Linked DNA regions of Saccharomyces cerevisiae S288C. The protein of the gene in region 3 interacts with the protein of the main gene of each other region in a biochemical or structural test. Each region holds a gene or a part of one and is shown on either strand. Other genes may lie near its edges.

Region 1 (7,182 bases), on a different chromosome or scaffold from region 3:
ATACGGTTCGTCCCTCATTCAACACTTTTAAACTTTCTGATAGGAACTGTCCATCAATCCATGAGATACCTATTCTTTCTTGTAGTGCATGAACTTTCGTGCCCAAAGTTTGCCCCAGGTTCCAATCAAGCTTGGCTGAAACTTCATGTTCGTTAAACAATCTATAGTAGAAAGTGTATTTCTTCAAGGTTTTATTAGCGTCTTGAGGGTTCTTACTTTTATTATCCTCATTATTCTTATACATTGTACATTGAAAAAAGTTCTTACCGTGGGGCGCCCAGGGGCCCTCACAAATCCAACAGAATTCGTATTTACAACTTGAGCAAACCATGTGGTTGCAGCCACCATTTTTTTCAATATTAACAGAACATTTTGGACATTCTTTAGTGTGGGACAAGACCCAATTCAAAATTTCTGATTCTTTTCTGGCTTTTTTAACCCAAGCAGTGGTTATTTTACAATCTGCTGGGGAATGAACTTCGAATCCGCAATTGAAACAGAATCTATGAAATGAATTACACTTAACGAAAGGTGAATAATGCAAACGGGTATATTCTGGTAATGATGACGTATCTCGCAAGTGCACGATGGATTTACAGTCAGCAAACGGGCACCATTTATAGTTACGATTATGTTTTTGAACAAAACTTTTGATTGAAGAATCCATCAACTTACTACTCGAAGGATGTCCCATCACTTTATCTATATCTTCATTTTTCAATGCCAGGGAACAGTCCATGCATGTAATGATGTTCCCCTCATGCAACTTATCCTTGATGTAATGACGGTAGCAATTGATACAATATTCATGGCCACATTCCAACGCAAATGTTTCCGTATCCTTTTTATCACAACAAATAATACATGTAAAGTCATTTTTGAATTCAACTTCTCTGAAATGTGAATTATAATCATTATCTTTCTTGATATTTGCTGTGGTACTTAAGCCAAGCTCCACAAGCAATTCGTCCATTTTTTCGGTCCAAACTTCTAGCAAACGTTCCTCGTTCCAATCATAATGCTGTAGTAATATCAATATATCCGCAGATGGAATTGCAAAAATAGGTTGTAAATGGTCAACCCTTTGAAGCATTCTTTCAAATATACCCTTGGTGGTTAAGCATTCATAACTGAGATTCGGTACACTCCCTTCACACAGTATTCTTTTGTTGTTTTTCGTAAGAGGAGCATCTAGCATCCCCTCATATATGGTATCGACTCCATCTTCATCTTCATTGATGTCAAATTCTGAATCTTGGCTTGTTACACTAATTAACTTCGGGAAAACTAGTCCATGTATAGTAAATTCAGATGTATTGTGAGATTCATAAAGTTCAATAGAGCTGGAATCACTTTCATCAAAACTATAAAATTGATCATTTTCGGTACCACTACTCATTGTTAAAAGCCTCTAACAAGTACACCCAAATTCGCTAAAGACAAATTAAATATACTTAAAGAATGGCTATAATTCCTGTATAGTAGCTGGGATAGTAACAAATCAATACAAATGTAGCTACCTTAAAACTAAGGCAGTACTCACAGCATTCTTCACCTTCCTCTCCTCTTTTCTAAAGCGGGTTCCTATTTTTTGCGCAAGGAGGAAGGACGATGGCACTGAGAAAGCATCAAATCGTATGTAATTAAACTACGCAAGGTATGTACGGTCAATAAGTATAGCTTAGCGCTTTAAAATTAGGTGGGACATTAGGAAAACTAATAGGGGAAAATATTTCTTAAAAAAAAGGGCATGAGGGCTGATCAAAACTTGATTACAATGAATGGTCAACGCGGTCAATGGCAGCCTTAATTTTCATACCTACTCTCGTACTCAATTCATAATCATCTGCGTAGCCCTGAGCCCTCAGTAACCATTCTTTACTCTCTGGAAGGCCATCCATGCCCTCCAACTTCCATGTAAATAGAGCACGTTCATAAAGTGCAGTCGGATAGGCCCATGGATCTTCAGTTTTCTTTATATATTTGACCTTGCCATTTTGAATGGAGAAAAACTTAGGTAGAACCTTTTCATCCAATATATCACAACCTTCTTGGATATGACCTAATCTTCTTAATGTCAAAGAGACCAAGAGATCTTTGATTAACTCCTGATCTGAGTCTAAAGCTTCAATGGCGGGATTTCTATACTCAGTTAGCATTTTCTTTGTTAGCTCCAAATGCTCTTCAGACATTCTATTATAACCATTGTAGAAGTACGCAATTTCGTGTACTGGTGAAGTAGCGATACCATCCAGAGGATTTTCCACCCCAAGTTCCTCCTTTTTCGCTTTAAATTGCTCAACTTTTCTCAGAATAAACCTATCTAATGGCAGGTTCTTCGATTTGAAGGTTTTCTTACCTAGCAAATTCACAGAGGTGAAGATAAGTTCTTCGGCCTTCTTTTGGTATTCATCCTTTTTGTCTGACTTCATTAATCCCATTTCGCACATTCTCCAATTTTCTAAATAACAGCAGCCAGCAAAATATGTGTAAAAAGCGTGTGACCAATCACTGATGTCTAATAGCGATAAAATATCTTCTGCAGCTCTATCGTATTGATGCAAATGGATCAATGTTATAGCACGGTCAAAAATCATCAAGGATTTGACCTGTCTCATCCGTATCTTGCTAACATCAATCGAATCCATCAATGCGACTGCTTCCTCTAAACGCCCTTTACCAGATAGCATCCTTGCCTCATTCAATAACCATAGCGCACTATTGGGAAATAGCGCTCTTGATTGCAGCAACGCATCTTCCAGTATTTTCCCAGGATGCAACAACGTAGGGCCATCCATCTCTTCATCTTCAGAATCTTCACTGTTACTGGAATCCTTAACTGCTGCAGGAATATCAAAATCATCGTCAGTGAATTGGAAAGGTCCATCATAGTAAAACATCAGGGCTAACAAACCAATACAACCATGCACGTTTCTTTGCTTTGTGGCTTTCCAAACAAGTCTCAAACCTTCTTCTCTGGAACCCCTGAATCCAACCACAGATAGGACCGCGCCAATAGCGGGTGGTAATAGTGATATCACAACCTGTAAAATACCAAAGCATAAATTGACACCAGAATGGACAAACTCATCAATTGTTGCTTGACTTAAATCTATATCATCCGAAAGAACTTTATGATCTGTTATTTCCTCTTCTGGCAAGTCTTCCATTGCTTGTAGTCCTAGCTCACCTCTCAACCTGTTAATTGCAGGAGAGTTGCCAATGTGGGCGCCAGATAATCTTTCAGTCCTCATGCTATGAATTTGTTCAGCAAATTGTAAAAGATCCTTATCCTTTTGTTCTTCAGGAGTCAGTTCATAAGGTATATCAACGGAATTGAACGCATCGCCACCAGTTATGAAAGTCGCTGGGGTGGACTCCTTATCTTCACTGCCTGACGTAATTTTCAATTTCTTGGCTTTGTTAGCAGCTTTAATAGTTTCCAAGATTTCTTGTAACATATAGTACGACTTTCTGAGCTTTAAAATGGCCTTGGCCGCCTCCATCATACTTTCACTGAAAATCATCAATAGGGCATGTAGAAGGCATGATTCTGTATAAGTCACGGCATAAACTGTTCCTGGAGGATATAAAGAACTGCTCTTCAATCCAATTTTTTGAGCCCTCTCTCTACTTTTCAAAGATAAAGCTTCTGCCTTGGCCAAAGTCGCAGAAGCTTTTTTCATCTCTTCAGCTTCAAAACCTAAAGTGGCCTCCAAAAATTCAATGACACCACGAGCTAACGCATTTATAGTTTGGTCGGAAGCTTCTTTAGCATCACTCTCATCCAGCAAAGCCAAACCCTCGTCAGCATTATCATCTAAGACATAGTCCATCGCACGCAGTGCCTGTTCGAAATCATGAGCTTGTTTTAGAATGGCTTTAGTTTTTTCTTCCTGTGAAAGCTCAGGAATCTCTTCCTTCGCACCAAAACCAAACACTTTAAACATTTTGGTTGTTCTGTGATCCACTAGTCACAATTAGCCTGTGGATCGTCTCAGTGGTGGCATCCGAATAAACGATGCCTCTTTTTTAGTTGATCGAATTTGCCCCCTTCCTTGGAAAAAAGGAAAGAAAGCAAAAAGCCGGGAATAATAATAACAGAGAAGACTAATAGACATTTTTTTAGTAAGATTGGCCTTATCTCGAACAAGATTTCTGAGATGACAATTCGATTAGCTTAACAGTAACAAGTGGGGGAATTACGCATTATATATATATACTTCTGTATATGTCTACCTACGAAGTGGTGCGAGTCACACTCGTCACGACGAGCTATTGTGGTCTACAAGAACTACACGGTTTTCCTTCTTGATATTCTTGATTTCTTCTTTCATCTGTTTTCTCTTTTGTTTGGCCATCGCCTTTAGCGTACTCACTGGCACAACCGTGGTGGAAGCATATCTATCTACGCTATCCCAAACGCATTGCTCGACAACATTGGGAAGTTTTCTGCCATACAGGCACTGATCGACCAGCCACATACCCACAATAAAAGATTTCCTATCTAAAGTACCATCTTTTCTTGTGTCTACCTTCGTGTAAATTTCTGCCAATAGACTATTGGGCAAGTTAGACCGCTTCCAGATATCACGGACTATGATACCCAATATCAATCCATCTTCGGGTAAAGTATTAATTGCTCCGGAATCACCCGTTATAGAGGGCCACCAGCTCAACAGGTTCAAATGACGGTGTCTGTTGCTTACCCACATGCTTTCGTAACGCTTCCTTTCGTTGTCTGTTACGAAAGTTATATCTGTATGTGATTTCCAGGGTTTATCCTCATTGAATTTCCGATCTCTCGTGCGGTGGATAGGCCTATGATGTGCAGTTTTATTGGCAGAATTCCTGATCTTTCTCTTAATTCTATCTCTTTTGCGTGGCTTGGTCAAGGCGTCCTGGTTCTGATCAGATTCAGAATCAGAATCAGTATCGTCATACACATCATACGTGTCGTTGGACGGATTGTACTTATACCTCAGATTTCCCTCATGTAGAGAGGATGCATGATCATTTTCTGCGTTTGTACTTACAGAGGTTTTACGTAATGTTGTTTTAAATCTCATACTCGGTTGTTGTTCATGTTGTCCCAGTTCTTCGCTGCTTGCATCCATTTCATATTGTGAAGATAAGTGCTTGGGCTTACTACCAAATACTTTCCTTTTGAACTTGTTAACAAGCTTCTTCTTCCTCATATCGGATGAATAGTTCGGAACCAAGTTGGGCAAACCACTTCCCTGGTTGCTCGTTGTAGTAGTAGTGTTTGAGCTTGCAATAGATGGCTCTGATTCACATAACGAGAGTTGATTAATTGTTTGAGATAGACTTGTTTGTGACCTATTAGAAATAACGTCTGAAGTGTCCGGATTGAGACTATGTCTGGAATCGATGCTAATTGATGATAGGTTTTCATTTTCATGAAGCTGACCACTGCCGACAAGTGATGATTGCAAGGGAGGAGACGGCCTGCGTTTGGGCAGAGCTTTGTTGCTGTCTTTATTAGTTGCAGGCTCCATAGAGCTCGAGGATAGCCTTCTACCGCTACTAAAGGAAGTAAGTAAATTCTCTTGAGATCTATTGTCGGGAGTTCTTTGGCCAGGCGTCAGTGATTCATTGGAGCCGTTTCTTGAGCTTGAGCGTGAATGAATGCCCAGCAAGCCATTCAAGTTCGGAGTTTCTAGAACTTTTAGTGTATCCAATGCCGAAGAATGGGAGGAGTTATTGTCAGAACTAAGTTTCGATTGTGAATGCGCTAAAGCAGCTGCCATTTGAGCAGTACTACTAACATTATCTTTACCTGCAGGGCTTGACCTGTGTTTCTTAGACAACTCAACATCATTAGGCGCCGTTGTTTTAATCTTAGGTACCTGTTTTGTTCGTATGCGTGCCTTCTTTTGTTCTTGTTTCCGCCCTGACTTTTGTAGCGATGGCTCTGATAACCTAGTTTGAGGATTCCTGCTCACCGTTACTGGAGGGCATGGACTGCTGACCTCATTGGAATGGTTCTGGAAGATAGCTTGCGCAGCGCGAAGGGAATCTGAAGCTCCTTGTTCAGTCAAAGTTACTGTTGTACCGCCATGATAACGCTGTTTACCAAACGAAAGTCTCATACTCCTCTGCTAATCTTTTCCTATGTCAAAAAAATGAATCTACCCAGGCCTTAAAAGTATGTTCTACCTGTGCAACGAGAGTGTTGTTGTGGCAAGGGTCCATTACACAATGGGCCTTTTTGTGATGATTCAACTTCGATATGCTTTATACGAGAAATCATCGAATTTTCGCTGCGTGGAAACAAGAGGCAGTAAGTTGTACGTATAGGTGAGGCTCTGCATAGAAGAGGCGTATTTGCGGTGAGACGGAATCTGACGAGGATATTAAGTACAGATGGCAGAACAAATTAGTCACAAAAAGTCCCTGAGGGTGAGCAGTCTGAACAAAGATAGAAGATTGCTCTTAAGAGAATTCTACAACTTGGAAAATGAACCGAATAAAGGTCGTCAAGAAGCACGTATAGGGGAAAAAGCCAGCGAGGCTCATTCTGGGGAGGAGCAAGTCACAGATGTGAATATAGATACCGAAGCAAACACTGAGAAACCAGTGAAAGATGACGAATTGAGTGCAACTGAAGAGGATCTCAAGGAGGGGTCAGAAGATGCAGAAGAAGAGATAAAGAACCTGCCCTTTAAGAGGCTAGTACAAATTCACAATAAGCTCTTGGGCAAAGAAACCGAGACTAACAATTCTATCAAGAATACCATTTACGAAAACTATTATGACCTAATAAAAGTCAACGACCTTCTCAAAGAAATTACAAACGCCAATGAAGACCAAATTAACAAGTTGAAGCAAACAGTAGAATCTTTAATCAAGGAACTGTAATTTCCAGCGGCATATCGTGGCTTTCACCGAACACTTCCTTCGAGAGAGTGCATTTTACTATGTGAACCAATTTTTCCTCTTTTTCGGTTTGCAAGTTCACCTGAAAAACTGCTTAACACTACTAGCAATTGCCCTATTGTCGTACGAGGACTTTGCCAAATGTATTCCCGGCTGTTTGTAGTATATATACGCAGATATATAATAGCGCCGTCTTTTTACCTCTTTGAGCGAATTGCCAAATATTGACTCTTTTGTCTTATTTCGCTATCCCCATCTTATCAAAAATGGGAACAACTCGTT
Region 2 (5,630 bases), on a different chromosome or scaffold from region 3:
ATCTTAGCCTTATAGCGGCTAATAATTGCATATGATAAAGTCATTCCCACTTTATCTCCATAAACATAAAAACGCAAGACAAATAACGACAATAAAAGTAACAGTGGTAATAATAATACTTCTGTATGAGGATGCTTATCTTTTGCGGGTTGAGTACAAAAATACACATGGTAAGAAATCACTGTTCAACGTTATAAGAATAAAGAGGGACGAGGAAGGATAATGCAAGTGTAGTTTACAGTAAAAAGAATGACTTTATGGTACTAATGGTATGAATAGTTGAAATTATGTACATTAGATTTGCATATGTATGTATATATAGCTTGCTGTCATACAAGAAGATTGATAACAATGATAAAAGTTAATGAAAAATTTACTTTTTTTCTTTCATTAAAAGGCAAATAAATGTTTCTTGTGAAAACTTTATTGACGATTGCTCGAGACAATCAGTGGGCAAAAGGATGATTGTCAAGTATGTCAACTATCAAAGTTATTGAGGTATATACACAGAATGGACTGAGAAAGGTACGGCCCTATTATAACAGAAGATCAGCGTTCGTGAAGGGGCGCTGGTTGGGTAAGTTACTAATAGACGTTCTCGTTAGTGAATTTAAACTTCGCCCAAGAGCTTATTATTTGGACCAAATAAGGAAAGGCACATATAGGTTGATCCGAGATGGTGTGCCGCTGGTACCAGATCATCTCATGACTACCATAATCAAGAATCATGATGTTTTAGAAACAACTACGCATAAGCACGAACCGCCGGTAAAACAATGGTGTAGCCAGGAAGTTGAAGCGGAGGATTTACCTGGCAGAATAGCGGGATTCAATATTGTTTTTGAAGATGAGAGTATCCTCGTCATTGATAAACCCAGTGGTATACCAGTGCATCCAACCGGTCAGTTTTACCAGAACACAATTACTGAATTACTGAAGTTACATGGTGTAGATGCTCTTCCTTGTTATCGGTTAGACAAGATCACATCAGGCTTGTTGATATTGGCCAAGAACAGTCAGAGTGCGGGGGAAATCCAGAAGAGTATTCGTTCAAGAGATATGATTAAGATCTACTTGGCAAGGGTCAAGGGAAGATTTCCTCACTCCGAATTGATATTGGACAATGAAAATGCGGCGGAAACGACTTTTGAGGACACTTCCAAAGTTACAGTGGAAATGACACCCATATATTCTATCGATCCAAAGAGACAGTTTCCAGTTGGTTTATCGACATCGAAGGATGCTATTACCAAGTTCTACCCAATAAGATACTTCTCTCATGCTGATGAAACTGTCGTCGCTTGTAAGCCAATAACTGGAAGAACACACCAAATTCGAATCCATTTAGCTAGGCTCGGTCATCCCATCGTCAACGATAGTGTTTATTGTTCGCATATTACAAAATACCCCGAAAGGCTTAAGTTTATAACTCAGTTTCCTAGATGGGAGAATCAGCAGGATTTAGATGCTGAGGAATTGAAAGTGAGGTTTCAAAAATTTGTCGATGAGACAAAAAATAATTGTCGGACAATGGAAACATTTTGTCCTGAATGTCATACTGTTGATTTAAAGGATCCTGTGCTATCAGACCTAGAATTATGGTTGCATGCTTGGAAGTATGAGGAGATTAATGGCAAATTCAAGTTCAAAACAGATTTACCAAAATGGGCACAATTGGACAATAGTTAAACTTTTTTTTGAGCGAACTTTTTTTGTATATAGTTTAGTTACCATTTCCGTACTTTGGATGTAAATTAAAATTAAAGAGAGACATTATTTTTAGTTGCGAATACATAACAGCGAATGTTCATGGGGAAAAGTTAAAAACCCTATATAAAGCACCACGAAATACACATCGCGAACAGAGCTAATGAGAGTATACACTTGCTAACTATATGAAACACAATCGTCCAAATGGTACTGGGAAAGCAGTTTCTGGCTTCAAGCAGATAATAAGAAGGCTTCTACTCCTCTTGAACAAGAAGAGAAGAAAACAACTCGTCATCATCTTGAAAAGAATAACCCAAGTCTATGGAATAAACCTAGTATTTTATGTCAAAAAATGGAAATTGAAAAAATTACAGGGTGAAAATATTCAAATAAATGATATCATGCCATGGCTAAGAGAGTCTACTATATTAGTCTTGCTGAACATACTATATCCAACTTTGATGAAGTTCCCATTTTTAAAAAATCATTATATTCACTGGTCTTCCATTGTAGGAATATCGTTAATGCTTACCAAGGGTGAGGTACCTTCGTGGATTATCGCACACTTTCTTGTGGAAGCTATAGCCTCCAAATTAAAGATCGCAAAATTAACACAATGGTTGAAAAAAAAAAATTTTTCCCAGGGTACATTAATAAAATTCCAGCAAATTCTTGTGTGTTTAGCGATTATTGTATTATTTGCCAAACTGGACAGGAGTTCGTTACCATTCCGTGTGCTTTTTGACCATAGGCCATTTTTAATAGATTTCTTCACAATCAATGCCATTTTCACAGTTTTGGCAGTATATCACAGAACATTAAAATTCTTTTTTACTTCAGGGACGAAATCAAATAAGAATGTCGGCGGCCACGAAGTCAGGAACTTTTCTCAATACCTTGGGGTCAAGAACCATAATGATTGGCCCATATCTTCATCAAATTTGAAGCATGTAATGGACAGACTAAATGAAATACATGAAGTTACAATTGATGATAATTATGCAAATATAAACGAAAAGATAATAAATTCATATTTCACCAAGGGTTTTTTTCCAAGTCTAAAATGGACTATATTAAGGCAGTGTATCGAATATTTATTCGTCACGAAAAGGCGCAGATTAATGGGCAACAAATTGCGGTGCATCGTGATGCTTCTTACATTCACCTTCGTGGATCCAACAAGTAAAATGAAAATCAGCCCATTTTTCGCAAAATTCTTTGCGAAGTCCTTGGTTAATGTTTACTTGAAAAAGTATTGGCATTGCAACTTTGGGAAATATATACTATTCTTTTTGTTTCAGCTTAGTATTATGTGATGTGTTTTTTTAGAAGAGAAGAGTTTACAAGTTTGTAAATAATCTATATTATAGTTGTCTTGATAAATGAATTTACAGTATGAATTAGTTATTTACTGAACCTATCAAGTATGATACTCATGTATGACGGGAATGATAGGGAATAAGCCCCTTCTCTTCCTTAGTTCATTATGGTTCTTATTATTCATCATCATTTAAGCACCGGGAGCCTTCGCGTTACCTTTCAATCTCAAAAGAATTTCTTTAAGCTTAGACCTGTCTCTACCCCCAATGATATCGGCATCATCTTGGTTAATTAATTGAAGTGCACGATCCCAGGTCGTATTGTCTTGACCAAAAAATTCATCTCTTTTCTTTAAGAAAGCCTCAGCTTCCTTAGCAGCATCTTCCAATTGTTGTTCCTTCTTTTTATTGTAAGAATCGTAAAAATCGTCAATATGTTTGATAGCTTCATCCTGCAATTCCTTTTTTAACTCCTCGTCCTTTAAATCCTTTTCGTGAATCTCTACAGCACGACGTTGTTTCCATTGGTCTACAACTTCAGAACGATCCTCTTTAACGGATTCTGTACTCTGATTGGCACCTTCGAATGTGGAAAAATCATCATCTGCCTCGCCATTGTCATTACCACTAGATACAGTAGCACTACCATTTTGATCGCTCGAGACTGCGCCATTTGCGGAGTTGATATCTGGAAATTGCTCTTCAAAATCCCTAATTTCGTCATCATCTTTGGCGGGGGAAGCCTCCGTTTCCAATATGTCATCCTGTTCAGTCTTGAACTCGTCTCCAAGTATCTCTGCTTCTCTTTTTAAAAAATCGGTGTCGTCATCTTTTTTGTCGTTGGGTGTGAAATCAATGTTTTGATCTTCCAAAGGAGGGAATTTCTCTGACATTATATATATATGTATCTAGTGAAACGGCGGCGTCCTTCAACTGCTCTTTTGGGTGACTCGCAACGCCTAAGTAAAGCTGTAAAACCCTTTTTCTAGCACGTATATTTTCAGTTTAGTTGTTTAATCTTCTAGGTGCCCCTTTCAGTGTAAAAAAATATGGAAGTGTTTCTATCGTGTAATGTGATGATAATAACTTTTTTATAGAAATGTTACAGATTAGTATGTAGTCTATGTTAATAAAATGTATACTTGTTCCGCTTACTGGATTAACACAGATGCGCCATTTCCAACTTCTATAAGTTCATTTGTATTTAAATCCAATACCTTAAGTCCGGAGAGAGTGCCATAATATCCGGACATAATACCAATAAATCGTAAATCCGCGAAGTATGTTTCTCTCGGAGGTACAACTGGAATTTTGTAATCGTTGGATAATAGTATAATCCCCTCCGCAATTTTTCTATATTTATTATGCAGTTGGTACTGATTTTCCAGTGTCAAGGGCGAATTGGGGATAGTCCCATTATTCATGCCACAGTTGTTTATACCATTGCTGTTACGTACGTTATTAGCTGAAGGGATTGGGTTTATTGTATTGTTATAATACACAACAAGATCCAGGGGGGATGATGACGAGTTAATGATCTGAAGCCTCATAGTAAACTTTTCGCCCTTAATAACTTTTATATTGCTATTAATAAACTTGAATTTTACATTGCTTAATTTGCTATTCACCAATGATGTAGTCGAAGCAGCTCCAAGACTAAATCTTGAGGAGGAAACCCCACCTAATCTTAGATTGGCCAAACCACCAGAATTAACGTTGTTGGCCGCACCATTAAAAGAAGCGCTATGATTGGTATTATTGTTGTTACTCGAGTATTGAGAAGATGTCGAGGAAATTGGCATAGAACGCTTCAATGTGACTTCTGTTTCCCATGATGTTCTCACAGGTAACTTCAGATTGGGATGCAGCTCGAGTTCGTACGCTAAGGTGATTTTCACACGATGTGGTTGAGTTGATTTGGGTAACAGAACCAGTTTAAAAGTAGCGCTAATGCTATCGTATGAAAATGCAGTGAGTGGCACTTTCAAAGGACAGATTGGATCTAGTTCAATTTGAGAGGTTCCGTCGATTAGTTTATACGATATTTCTTGAAAGTTCAGTTTGAGAAAAGAATTGTGTTCTTGCGGATAAATAAATTTTTTGGTCAGTTGTTCGGATGCTTTAGAAGTTTGAAAGTCTAACGATGATAATATGCAATGCTCAGATTTCAAGGAGATGTTTCTCAATCTCATATTCAAAAGTGAGAATATTGGGTATTGGAGCTTAAGAGTAAATGTATTCGGATTTCTAGAAACGTCCGCTTCGTGGACTTCGCTATTTTTAGAACTAACTCGATGAGTCGCCCTGTTATTTTTCTCCAGATGATTATTAGTATTTTTGGATGATTTGGTGGCTGCAGAAGACCAGGAATAAACTGGCTCAAAACTTGGCAAAATCTCCTCGCTAGAGTACTTATCTAATGTATACTTTGCCTGTGGATCTTGTAATGAATCCTGGTTATTGAAATTTGCATCCACAGATTTATATTCAAAGACAAATTTGATCTGATTATTATAACCATTATTCATAACAACATTTGATTTGAAAAGAATCTTCGAACAGCAGTCGTTTTTCAACCTCCATAGATTTTCATTGTTCTCA
Region 3 (6,186 bases):
GGCCGCGTCGTTGGTAATAATGATTTTACCGAGATGGTTAACAATGATCTTGTTTCTACCACAGGGTCCCATAGAAGTCAAACACATTTGATGTAATTCGCGAATGGCCGCAATTGATTTAATAATTTGGCCATCGGCGTTAGAGTAACTATTGTAGCCTTGTTTAAACAATCCCGCGTTGGGATTTTGTGGCAATCTAAGTGACATGGTTAATTGATGATTTTATTGCCCTTGAGGTTCAAGTTGTCTTGTCGGTATCTGTAAAGTGAGAACATCATCATGCTATACTATTTTCTTCACTTTTTTTTGCCACTAGCGGAGGTGATGAACATTTTCGAATACCGTTAATAATGACAAAAACACCATTAACTTGGCTTATATAAAATAAGCTATTGAAATAGTAAATGTGCTCGCAACTCTTTAATTATCTAAATCCGGCAGCTTCTTTATTGATTAATAATACAAAATGTTCGGACAAGTGATCATTAGATATCAACATGAATTCAATTGGTAACAATTTCGATGCTTACATTTTATGCTAGTATACACCACGCATATGTCTGTCAATGTACCTATTACAGAAGGAAATGTTCAAGAAGCAGTTCAGACAGTACCGAAGCAGAATTAAAAATCCATTATTTGAATATGATCTGATAGTCATATATATGAGCAATACAGGTCTTCACATTAAATGTATGAGAACTGCCGGAACCACTATTACATTGGTCACAATTAGGAATGAACCAATCGGCGTGTGTTTTATATCCCCCTTATATAAGTCTAAGAAGATCGATATTCAATCTTCATTAATAAAGCTTTTTGACCTCTACCTATGAGCAATAAACCATATCCATCAATAGTGGTCAAGCCGTAAGAATGTTTTTACCGAGAATAGAAGTAAACTTTTCTTATTGTATATAAGAAAAGCATATAAACACGCGCCCAGAGAACATATTCAGTATGCCCTAGCTTGGAAACACATCAGTAAAATACTACGCGCCTAGTATAATGACTTCTATATCCAAAATTTTTAAGTTAACCTTTCAAGTAAAAGATCTTTGCCTTATACTACTGTCTGAACAACTCGTATAAATTAATGTATGATATGAACATTCCCATTGTTACGATAGATGTCCTAATGAGGATCAACTATAATCTATCGAATAGTATTCATATTACTAATATATTATCATGTACGATGTACCAAGATGGCATGAAGATTGAGAAAACAGTCATCAGATTTAATAGATGCTGAAATGCCAGGACTGATAGTGTAACAGAATAATGAATGATATCATATAAATTGGGGAAACAATAATGACAATATTATGTGAAAATATCAATTCTCTTTTGTGGATTACAAGATCCCCTGGAGAACTTCTAGTATGTCCTGTATACCCGGTGCTATATCCTTTAATAACCATGGAATCCGCAAATATTTGATGTAAAGTTTGTTTTTCTTCCCCAACATCCTTTGTATGCTTCAGTAGCTCAGTAGGAAGAGCGTCAGTCTCATAATCTGAAGGTCGAGAGTTCGAACCTCCCCTGGAGCACATTTTCTTTTTTTGTGAATTAAACCTCGAAGCTCAACATTCATGTTTTGAGATAAAAAAAGGTACTTATTACTTGTGTAAAAGAAAGTTTATAATGATGATCTTATTTAAGTTTATAGTAGGACTTTCTATGCATGTCTTGTAGAACTATTTATGCTGGACTCGCCATTAATTAGCTCCAGTGAAAGTACATATCTTCTTTCTTGGACATTATTATCTCTAGTAATAGTGATATAAGGATCGGCATTCAACAGGTGATCTGGTATTTGCGGCAATCCAGATTCTGGTCCTGCGTTTTTTTTCAGTTCCATAAACCTTTCAACGCCAATCGGCAGCAAATCAGCCGGTAAATGACGTTGTAGATCGCACATATCGAATGAATTGATGTAAAAATTGACTATATCAAAATAAGCTTCATTTACGGATTTCTCGTCTGTTTCAAATAAAGAATACCTTTTACTTGACCAATTCTTATTATCTAGTAATTCATATGCTATTTTCAAAATGGCCAATGCAATGGAATGTTGGGGTATGACTAAAATAGTTTCTAGCTTCAAAGCATCATAAGCAATTACCCAAGCCAGATTGCACAACTTATAATCAAAGGATAGCTCCCTACCAATTTTTATAACATATTCATCAATATGAACGTAATTGTTGACTCTATAATCGAATGAGCATGACTCTAATATCCGAAGTTCTATTTGAAATACCCTTTTTTTAAAATTTTCCAAAATGTCCGTATTGATTTTAACCACATTCCTCAATCGTAATGACAAAGTACATATATCATTTGTTTTTTTAATTGTCTCAACTTCTTTACAGCCCAAAGTCAGGCAGCTTGTCGCTACAGTGTAGCAAACCTCGGTCTCGAAGCGATTAAAGAGGTGGTATCTTTGGTAAAAGTATACTGCTGTTTCTAAAGTCTTCCGTGGAAATTTCAGCTGAACACACAAGTCACTTAGAAATTTGAACACGGCAAGTTTTTTCTGGTTGTAATTTCGATAGTCCGATATTGTATTCTTTTGGGCTCTTTGAATTTGCCTTTTAGACAGAAACGGTCTCGAAAAAAAAAGCTGGGATTCAAACGTGCTAGGCATATCAAAGTACGTAATTTTCTTAGTTTTGCTGGCTCTATATCTCCTCTCGCTCTATAGATACAGATATATATATATATATATATATATCTATGTGTATAAAGACGGCTTTCAGGACAGTACTTGTTTGGATTTTTGATCATCGCGGATTTTCGCAATGCAAGTATAAAGAGAGCATTACCCGCCACACAGTGATTCTTCAGCAAGTTGTACCGAAAAGGACCATTTAGGTACGTGGGATCGCAAAGGTTCCCAAACGGTGTGCATCAAGCCGTAGACTTCATGAGTGCTTTCGGTGCAGCAAAAAGATAAGGACAAAAAATACTGAAGGATGCGAGGTTCGAACTCGCGCGGACAACCGTCCAACAGATCTTAAGTCTGCCGCCTTAGACCACTCGGCCAACCCTCCATCTTATTTAAAAATCCTAGGAAATAGATGTTATATAAGTCATACATCATTGAAAACATCAAATACCGTTCCCTGCGTTGTTCTACAGAAAAGCGCATTAGAGTAGGTCATACCCTTTAAAAAATGATTTTGTAAATGCCAGAAAGTAAACAAATATGCATTTCGCCTAGCTCCCAATGTAAATAGCCATAAAAAAGGATAAAATGCCAGATTTAGAGTCAGTTCTCGTTCTTCTTCTTCTCTGTGTTCAATTGTTCAATTGCATTGTTAATCACTGAAATTCTATGTTTCAAATTGGAATGGCAGACTGAACTGAGACCTTCCTTACTTTCTCCTCTATCAAACCTAAATATTCAATCATAACCTTATTTTTTCACTTCCTTTTTCTTACTTTTTTTTTTTTTTTTTTTTTGTATTTTGGAAGGAAAGCAGGGGGGACTTACCATAAGAAAAGCGACTCTAAAAAAGTGTATTTTCTTCCAAAGTTCAGTAAAGACAGCTGGGAAGTATAGTAACAGAGGAGAGAAAGCATAAGGAGACCTCTTGCTGCAGTTCACAACCAAAAATAGCATATCTTTACTATTGTCGCTAACCATTGCGAAACGAGCTAAAGCAACAGCAAACGAAATCCCTAGGTCGAAATGTCATCAAAACCTGATACTGGTTCGGAAATTTCTGGCCCTCAGCGACAGGAAGAACAAGAACAACAGATAGAGCAGAGCTCACCTACGGAAGCAAACGATAGAAGCATTCATGATGAGGTACCAAAAGTCAAGAAGCGTCACGAACAAAATAGTGGTCACAAATCAAGAAGGAATAGCGCATATAGTTATTACAGCCCACGGTCGCTTTCTATGACCAAAAGCAGGGAGAGTATCACTCCAAATGGTATGGATGATGTAAGTATTTCGAACGTGGAACATCCAAGGCCGACAGAACCGAAAATCAAAAGGGGTCCATATTTACTGAAGAAAACATTGAGCAGTCTTTCAATGACGAGCGCGAATAGTACTCATGATGATAATAAAGACCACGGTTACGCTTTGAATTCATCCAAGACGCACAACTACACATCTACTCATAACCATCATGACGGTCATCATGATCATCATCATGTTCAGTTTTTTCCCAATAGGAAGCCATCATTAGCGGAAACCCTATTCAAAAGGTTTTCAGGGTCAAACAGTCACGATGGCAATAAGTCAGGAAAGGAAAGTAAAGTTGCTAACCTTTCCCTTTCAACGGTAAATCCTGCACCTGCTAATAGGAAACCTTCTAAAGACTCCACTTTATCTAATCACTTGGCTGATAACGTGCCAAGCACTTTACGAAGGAAAGTGTCCTCATTGGTACGTGGTTCTTCCGTCCATGATATAAATAATGGTATTGCAGATAAACAGATTAGACCAAAGGCTGTTGCGCAATCAGAAAATACATTACATTCATCCGATGTTCCCAATAGCAAACGCTCGCACAGAAAAAGCTTTCTGCTAGGCTCCACATCTTCTTCAAGCAGTAGAAGAGGTTCAAATGTCAGTTCAATGACTAACAGTGACAGTGCAAGTATGGCGACGTCGGGTAGTCATGTTCTCCAACATAACGTATCTAATGTTTCTCCAACTACTAAAAGTAAGGACAGCGTTAACAGCGAATCCGCCGATCACACTAATAATAAATCCGAGAAAGTGACTCCAGAATATAATGAGAACATTCCGGAAAATTCTAACTCTGACAACAAACGCGAAGCCACAACGCCTACTATAGAAACACCCATTTCATGTAAACCATCCCTTTTCAGGCTAGATACAAACCTTGAGGATGTTACTGATATTACAAAGACGGTGCCACCCACCGCTGTCAATTCTACACTAAATTCTACACACGGGACTGAGACTGCCTCACCCAAAACGGTGATCATGCCTGAAGGTCCTAGGAAGTCGGTGTCAATGGCTGATCTCTCCGTCGCTGCCGCAGCACCTAATGGTGAATTCACATCAACTTCCAATGATAGATCACAATGGGTAGCACCTCAAAGCTGGGATGTGGAAACCAAAAGGAAAAAAACAAAACCTAAAGGGAGATCGAAATCAAGAAGGTCAAGTATAGATGCTGATGAACTTGATCCCATGTCACCGGGGCCACCTTCAAAAAAAGACTCTCGTCATCATCACGATCGAAAGGATAACGAATCAATGGTCACTGCGGGTGACAGTAACTCAAGTTTTGTTGATATATGTAAAGAAAACGTTCCGAATGATAGCAAGACCGCACTCGATACTAAATCTGTGAACCGCTTAAAAAGTAATTTGGCTATGAGTCCCCCAAGTATACGATATGCTCCATCAAATTTAGATGGGGACTACGACACGTCTTCCACTTCCTCATCTTTACCGTCCTCATCTATTAGTTCAGAAGATACATCTTCCTGCAGCGATTCCTCTTCGTACACTAACGCGTATATGGAGGCCAACCGAGAGCAGGATAATAAAACACCGATCCTGAATAAAACGAAATCGTATACCAAGAAATTTACATCCTCTTCGGTAAATATGAATTCACCAGATGGTGCCCAGAGTTCTGGATTATTACTACAAGATGAGAAGGACGATGAGGTCGAGTGCCAACTGGAACATTACTATAAAGATTTCAGTGATTTAGATCCAAAGAGGCACTATGCTATTCGTATATTCAATACTGATGACACTTTTACGACTCTCTCATGTACTCCAGCGACTACCGTCGAAGAGATAATACCTGCACTTAAAAGAAAATTTAACATTACAGCGCAAGGGAATTTTCAAATTTCCCTGAAGGTGGGAAAGTTGTCAAAAATTTTGAGACCAACTTCGAAACCTATTTTAATTGAAAGAAAACTTTTACTTTTGAATGGTTATCGAAAGTCAGACCCACTTCATATTATGGGTATAGAGGATTTAAGTTTTGTTTTTAAGTTTCTTTTCCATCCTGTCACACCTTCTCACTTTACTCCTGAACAAGAACAAAGAATAATGAGAAGCGAATTTGTTCACGTAGATTTAAGGAATATGGATCTGACTACACCTCCCATCATTTTTTACCAGCATACGTCAGAAATAGAAAGTTTAGACGTTTCTAATAACGCAAATAT
Region 4 (5,150 bases), on a different chromosome or scaffold from region 3:
AAGTCCAACTAATGGCCAGGTATCAGTGCCTTCGTCCTCGGCAGCCAACCGGCCCAAGCCTCAAGTGACGGGCATGCAAAGAGAACTATTTAACCTGCTAGGAGAGAACCAACCCCCCGTTGTTATTAAGTCTGGAAATAACTTTAAAGAAAAAATGCTTTCGACGTCCAAGCCATCTCCTTGGTCATTTGTAGAGTTCAAAGCTAATAACTCTGTGACTCTGCGTCATTGGGTCAAGGGTTCCAAAGAATTAATAGGAGACACACCAAAAGAATCGCCATATTCTAAGTTCAATCAGCATTTATCTATTCCATCATTCACCAAGGAGGAGTACGAGGCTTTTATGAATGAAAACGAAGGAACTCAAAAAAGCGTAGAAAGTGAAAAAAACCATAACGAAAACTTTACTAATGAAAAGAAGGATGAAAGTAAAAATAGCTGGTCTTTTGAAGAAATAGAATACCTGTTCAATCTCTGCAAAAAATACGATTTACGTTGGTTCCTGATCTTTGACAGATACAGTTATAATAATTCAAGAACACTTGAAGATCTCAAAGAAAAATTTTATTACACCTGTAGGAATTATTTTAAAGCAAGTGATCCTAGCAATCCGCTTTTATCTTCTTTGAATTTTTCAGCTGAAAAGGAGATAGAGAGAAAAAAGTATTTACAGCGTCTTCTTTCTCGTTCTGCAGCAGAAATTGCTGAAGAAGAGGCACTCGTAGTAGAGTCCAAAAAATTTGAAATGGCTGCCAAGAGAACACTTGCAGAAAGAGAATCATTACTCCGACTGTTGGACTCGCCACATTCAGATCAGACAATTACACAATACCTTACCTCTCAGGGAATGTCTCAGTTATATAACGCGCTTCTAGCAGATAAAACTAGAAAGCGGAAGCACGATTTGAACATCCCTGAAAATCCTTGGATGAAGCAGCAACAGCAGTTTGCCCAACATAGGCAACTTCAACAACTGAATGTAAAAAAGTCAGAAGTCAAGGAAAATCTCTCCCCCAAGAAAACCAAAAGACAAAGACAGGAAATGCAAACGGCGCTCAAAAGAAAGTCAGAAAGCGCATATGCAGAACAATTGCTGAAAGATTTCAATTCAGATGAAAGGAAGGCTTTAGGTGTGATTACGCATGGTGAGAAGCTATCGCCGGGTGTATACTTAAGATCTACAAAATTATCGACCTTCAAACCTGCGCTGCAGAACAAAATTCTCGCCATTCTTCAAGAATTATCGTTACCTTCTCGCCCTGTGATGCCCTCATTTGATGTAATGGAAAGACAAGAGGAGCTTTTGAAAAAAATCAATACGCTTATCGATTTAAAAAAACACGTTGACAAATACGAAGCTGGTATGTCAATCACCAAGTGAACATCAGAAAATGCTTTTTGCTAGCACGTATGTGATTAAAATTTTTGCGTAAAATAGACTGTTTTATAATATTTGGTGTACAACATGGGACCTTCAGAGGTACTTTCGGAAATCACGCAAATATTATGCACTAGTAACCCTCAATCTCTAAATAACTTATATTGTCATCTGTAAGGCAGCAAAATCCAAGATGGGCAATGTATATAGGTATATAGTTTAGTATTGTCATCTCATAGAATATCAACTGCATAATATACATGTATATATAATTTCCCATTCATTTAGAGGCTTCTTTTTTCGTCTGTATCGCTGAACCTTATGCCGGTTAAATCTAACAAAATTTTTTTGAACTGGAGGAACTAAAAAAAAAAATATTAATCTTGACTAATATACTAATCAGTCACTTTACATCTTAATGAAACCGAAAGAATCACTGATAAAATGTCCGACTCCGACTCCGACTCCGATTATGAATTGTAAGTACAGGATATTTTCAACACAGTAACGTAGAATTACTAACTAACACGAAACTTAATAGGACACTTTCTGCTAATGCCCTCGCTGCCCTTGAAGAATTCAAAAGAGAGGAACAACAACATCAAGAAGCCTTTCAAAAGCTTTACGACGAAACGGATGAAGACTTCCAAAAGAAAAAAAAAGAAGAAGGGATGAAGCTTTTCAAGGAAGATTGGCAGCTTTCCCAGTTTTGGTACAGCGATGACACAGCCGCAATTTTAGCAGATGCCATATTGGAAGGTGCGGACGAAAACACTGTAATTGCAATAGTTAGTGCGCCATCCGTCTATGCTGCCATTCAAAAGAAACCTACTAATGAAATTCCAACCGAACATATCTACTTGTTCGAATTTGATAAGAGATTCGAGTTGTTAGCTGGAAGAGATCATTTCTTTTTTTATGATTACAATAAACCACTGGACTTCAGTGATGAAATTAAAGGAAAAGTTGATAGATTGTTAATTGACCCACCTTTTTTAAATGAAGATTGTCAAACAAAGTGTATGTATATCATAAACATATCCCTACTCATTTTTTAATCTTTTTTCCAGTATCTTTTCATCTTACTAACTGTTATTCATTGATATAAAATAGCCTCTATCACTGCAAAGTGTTTATTAGCGCCAAATGACAACTCTAAAACTAAGAAAGGAGTTTTTAAGCACCGCCTCATAAGTTGTACTGGTGAAAGAATGTCTGAAGTCATATCCAAAGTTTATTCTGACACAAGAATAACAACTTTTCTTCCTGAACATTCTAATGGTTTGAGTAACGAATTTAGGTGCTACGCAAATTTTGAATGTAGTTCATGGAAATTTGCTTCTTGAGCTTTTTAAGAGCTTCGATAAATTTGAAAATTAATTGTACTACATAAAAAATATGTAAACATCAATATATATAATATAATCACATTTCAAATATATCACGTGTTATATTTACTATATAAAAATTCAATAAATAAAAAGTTAGAAGATAAAAATTATATTATACATATTTTTATTTTTATTATAATTTTTGTTTTTGCCTTCCGAAAAGAAAATAGTTTTTTGTATTACGGAAATTACAGAAAAATGTTTAATTTTGATTTCATATTTTTTCTTTCTTTGAAAGAATATTGACGACAAAGTATTGGATAATTATAATGCAAGGAAAGGATATTTGTAGATCTTCGGTTCAATGAAAGTTAATGCGGTATGAATATTGCTTTCTCCAGGACCTTTTTTTTTTTTTAGAGGCTATTTTATTGTCGGTGTTTGTGGATTTTATATTTCTCGGTCCGATAGTCCCTATAGATCGTTTATTGTTCTCTCGAGAAATGGTATCGTTTAAAAATCTCATATAAGCCTGCAAGGAAAAGATTATGCTGCAGCTATAAAATAGAATAGACAACAATATAGATTGTCAATTTTGTCCAATTTTATTTGCAACTCTACCTGGAAGGGCAAACAAAAATAAATATGTCAAAGATAGATTCAGTTTTAATTATCGGTGGTTCTGGTTTTCTTGGATTGCACTTAATTCAGCAATTTTTTGATATTAATCCTAAGCCAGACATCCACATTTTTGATGTTAGAGATCTCCCTGAAAAACTTTCAAAACAGTTTACTTTTAATGTAGACGACATAAAATTTCATAAGGGTGATTTAACATCACCTGATGATATGGAAAACGCAATTAACGAAAGTAAAGCAAATGTTGTTGTTCATTGTGCTTCTCCAATGCATGGTCAAAATCCAGATATTTATGACATAGTGAATGTTAAGGGAACCCGTAACGTGATAGATATGTGCAAGAAATGTGGCGTTAATATACTTGTATATACTTCCTCTGCTGGTGTTATTTTTAATGGGCAAGATGTGCACAATGCAGACGAAACCTGGCCAATCCCAGAAGTTCCTATGGATGCGTACAATGAGACTAAAGCTATCGCCGAAGATATGGTCTTGAAGGCGAATGATCCAAGCAGTGATTTCTATACTGTTGCTCTTCGTCCAGCTGGTATTTTTGGCCCAGGTGATAGGCAATTAGTACCTGGTCTAAGACAGGTTGCGAAATTGGGGCAGTCGAAGTTCCAAATTGGTGATAATAACAATCTATTTGATTGGACTTATGCTGGAAATGTTGCTGACGCGCATGTGTTAGCTGCACAGAAACTTCTCGATCCAAAAACAAGAACTGCTGTCTCGGGTGAAACTTTTTTCATTACCAATGATACCCCCACCTATTTTTGGGCCTTGGCCCGTACTGTGTGGAAGGCAGATGGTCATATTGATAAACATGTTATTGTTTTGAAAAGGCCAGTTGCAATTTGTGCAGGTTATCTTTCAGAATGGGTATCCAAGATGCTGGGTAAAGAGCCAGGTTTGACTCCATTCAGAGTCAAGATTGTGTGTGCATACCGTTATCACAACATTGCTAAGGCCAAAAAGTTGCTAGGCTACACACCAAGAGTTGGTATTGAAGAAGGAATTAACAAAACGTTGGCCTGGATGGACGAAGGTTTGTAATGGCAATCGTTAGGAGCTTTTTGATCCGATTATCGAAAGATAGTATGTTGAAATAGCATATCTGATACGCACCGTATATATTTATTCTGTCTTTATAGATGAATAATAAGAATTGAAACACCTAAAACATCTTGATGACTAGGTTAGTATATATATGTATACACTCATTTAATGACTACACTATGAAGCGTCGGGGTAATGCATGTAAATAAATAGAAATAAATCATTGAAACAACGAAATTCTCATGTATGCCTGCTAAGGATTCAATTTTTTGATATGTACGGTCATAATACTTTCTGCTTAACAAAAAACGAGCGTAAACTTTTCATTTGCCATACACAAATTATAATGAGAAGAGTAACTTGAGTTACCGTCCACCACATTGCGCGAGAATTCACAGACTCTGATATGTCTCTAAAGGATTCTTCACGTTCTCTCATCAGTTGTTGCTCTCTCCTGATATCCACGATCTTAGAATTCAATATACTGACTTTTCCGTGCAAACTTTCCAAGGTTTCTTTTCTTTGCATGTCCAACATTGCTTCAAAACCGACTTCAAATTCGATTTCTAACTTTGTTTTGGTTTTCCCTACCCAGTTATTTACCCTAGACTGTAAACAGATCTTATATTCTCCAGATTCCAAAGCTAGAAAGCTGAAGTCACCGGAAGGAGAGCCCTGTTGGTGGACTACCCTATGATTATTATCAAAGACTTCTTCCACATCTATGACAATGCCATAGTCAT

The links.
Region 1: the proteins of CTK2 (region 3) and YKR018C form a complex in vitro, tested with the Saccharomyces cerevisiae proteins (one large-scale study listed by BioGRID).
Region 2: the proteins of CTK2 (region 3) and CLC1 form a complex in vitro, tested with the Saccharomyces cerevisiae proteins (one large-scale study listed by BioGRID).
Region 4: the proteins of CTK2 (region 3) and EFM5 form a complex in vitro, tested with the Saccharomyces cerevisiae proteins (one large-scale study listed by BioGRID).

The regions. Positions count from the first base shown.
Region 1 is NC_001143.9:471,951-479,132, forward strand, and holds YKR018C (uncharacterized protein), read right to left. Parts: upstream 3,951-7,182; coding exon 1,773-3,950; downstream 1-1,772. Other genes in the region: E3 ubiquitin-protein ligase HEL1, read right to left, coding at 1-1,399; IRS4 (Irs4p), read right to left, coding at 4,266-6,113; VPS51 (Vps51p), read left to right, coding at 6,388-6,882.
Region 2 is NC_001139.9:830,748-836,377, reverse strand, and holds CLC1 (clathrin light chain CLC1), read right to left. Parts: upstream 3,923-5,630; coding exon 3,221-3,922; downstream 1-3,220. Other genes in the region: pseudouridine synthase PUS6, read left to right, coding at 475-1,689; PEX35 (Pex35p), read left to right, coding at 1,896-3,026; TRS65 (Trs65p), read right to left, coding at 4,181-5,630. UniProt on the Saccharomyces cerevisiae protein: Clathrin is the major protein of the polyhedral coat of coated pits and vesicles. In yeast, it is involved in the retention of proteins in an intracellular membrane compartment, presumably the trans-Golgi. The yeast light chain is important for cell growth.
Region 3 is NC_001142.9:421,457-427,642, forward strand, and holds CTK2 (Ctk2p), read right to left. Parts: upstream 2,654-6,186; coding exon 1,682-2,653; downstream 1-1,681. Other genes in the region: chaperonin-containing T-complex subunit CCT8, read right to left, coding at 1-207; YJL007C (uncharacterized protein), read right to left, coding at 1,242-1,556; CYR1 (adenylate cyclase), read left to right, coding at 3,701-6,186. UniProt on the Saccharomyces cerevisiae protein: Cyclin subunit of the CTDK-I complex, which hyperphosphorylates the C-terminal heptapeptide repeat domain (CTD) of the largest RNA polymerase II subunit.
Region 4 is NC_001139.9:494,707-499,856, reverse strand, and holds EFM5 (protein-lysine N-methyltransferase), read left to right. Parts: upstream 1-1,822; coding exon 1,823-1,857; intron 1,858-1,919; coding exon 1,920-2,398; intron 2,399-2,491; coding exon 2,492-2,724; downstream 2,725-5,150. Other genes in the region: SWC4 (Swc4p), read left to right, coding at 1-1,381; ERG26 (sterol-4-alpha-carboxylate 3-dehydrogenase (decarboxylating)), read left to right, coding at 3,355-4,404; ERP6 (Erp6p), read right to left, coding at 4,690-5,150.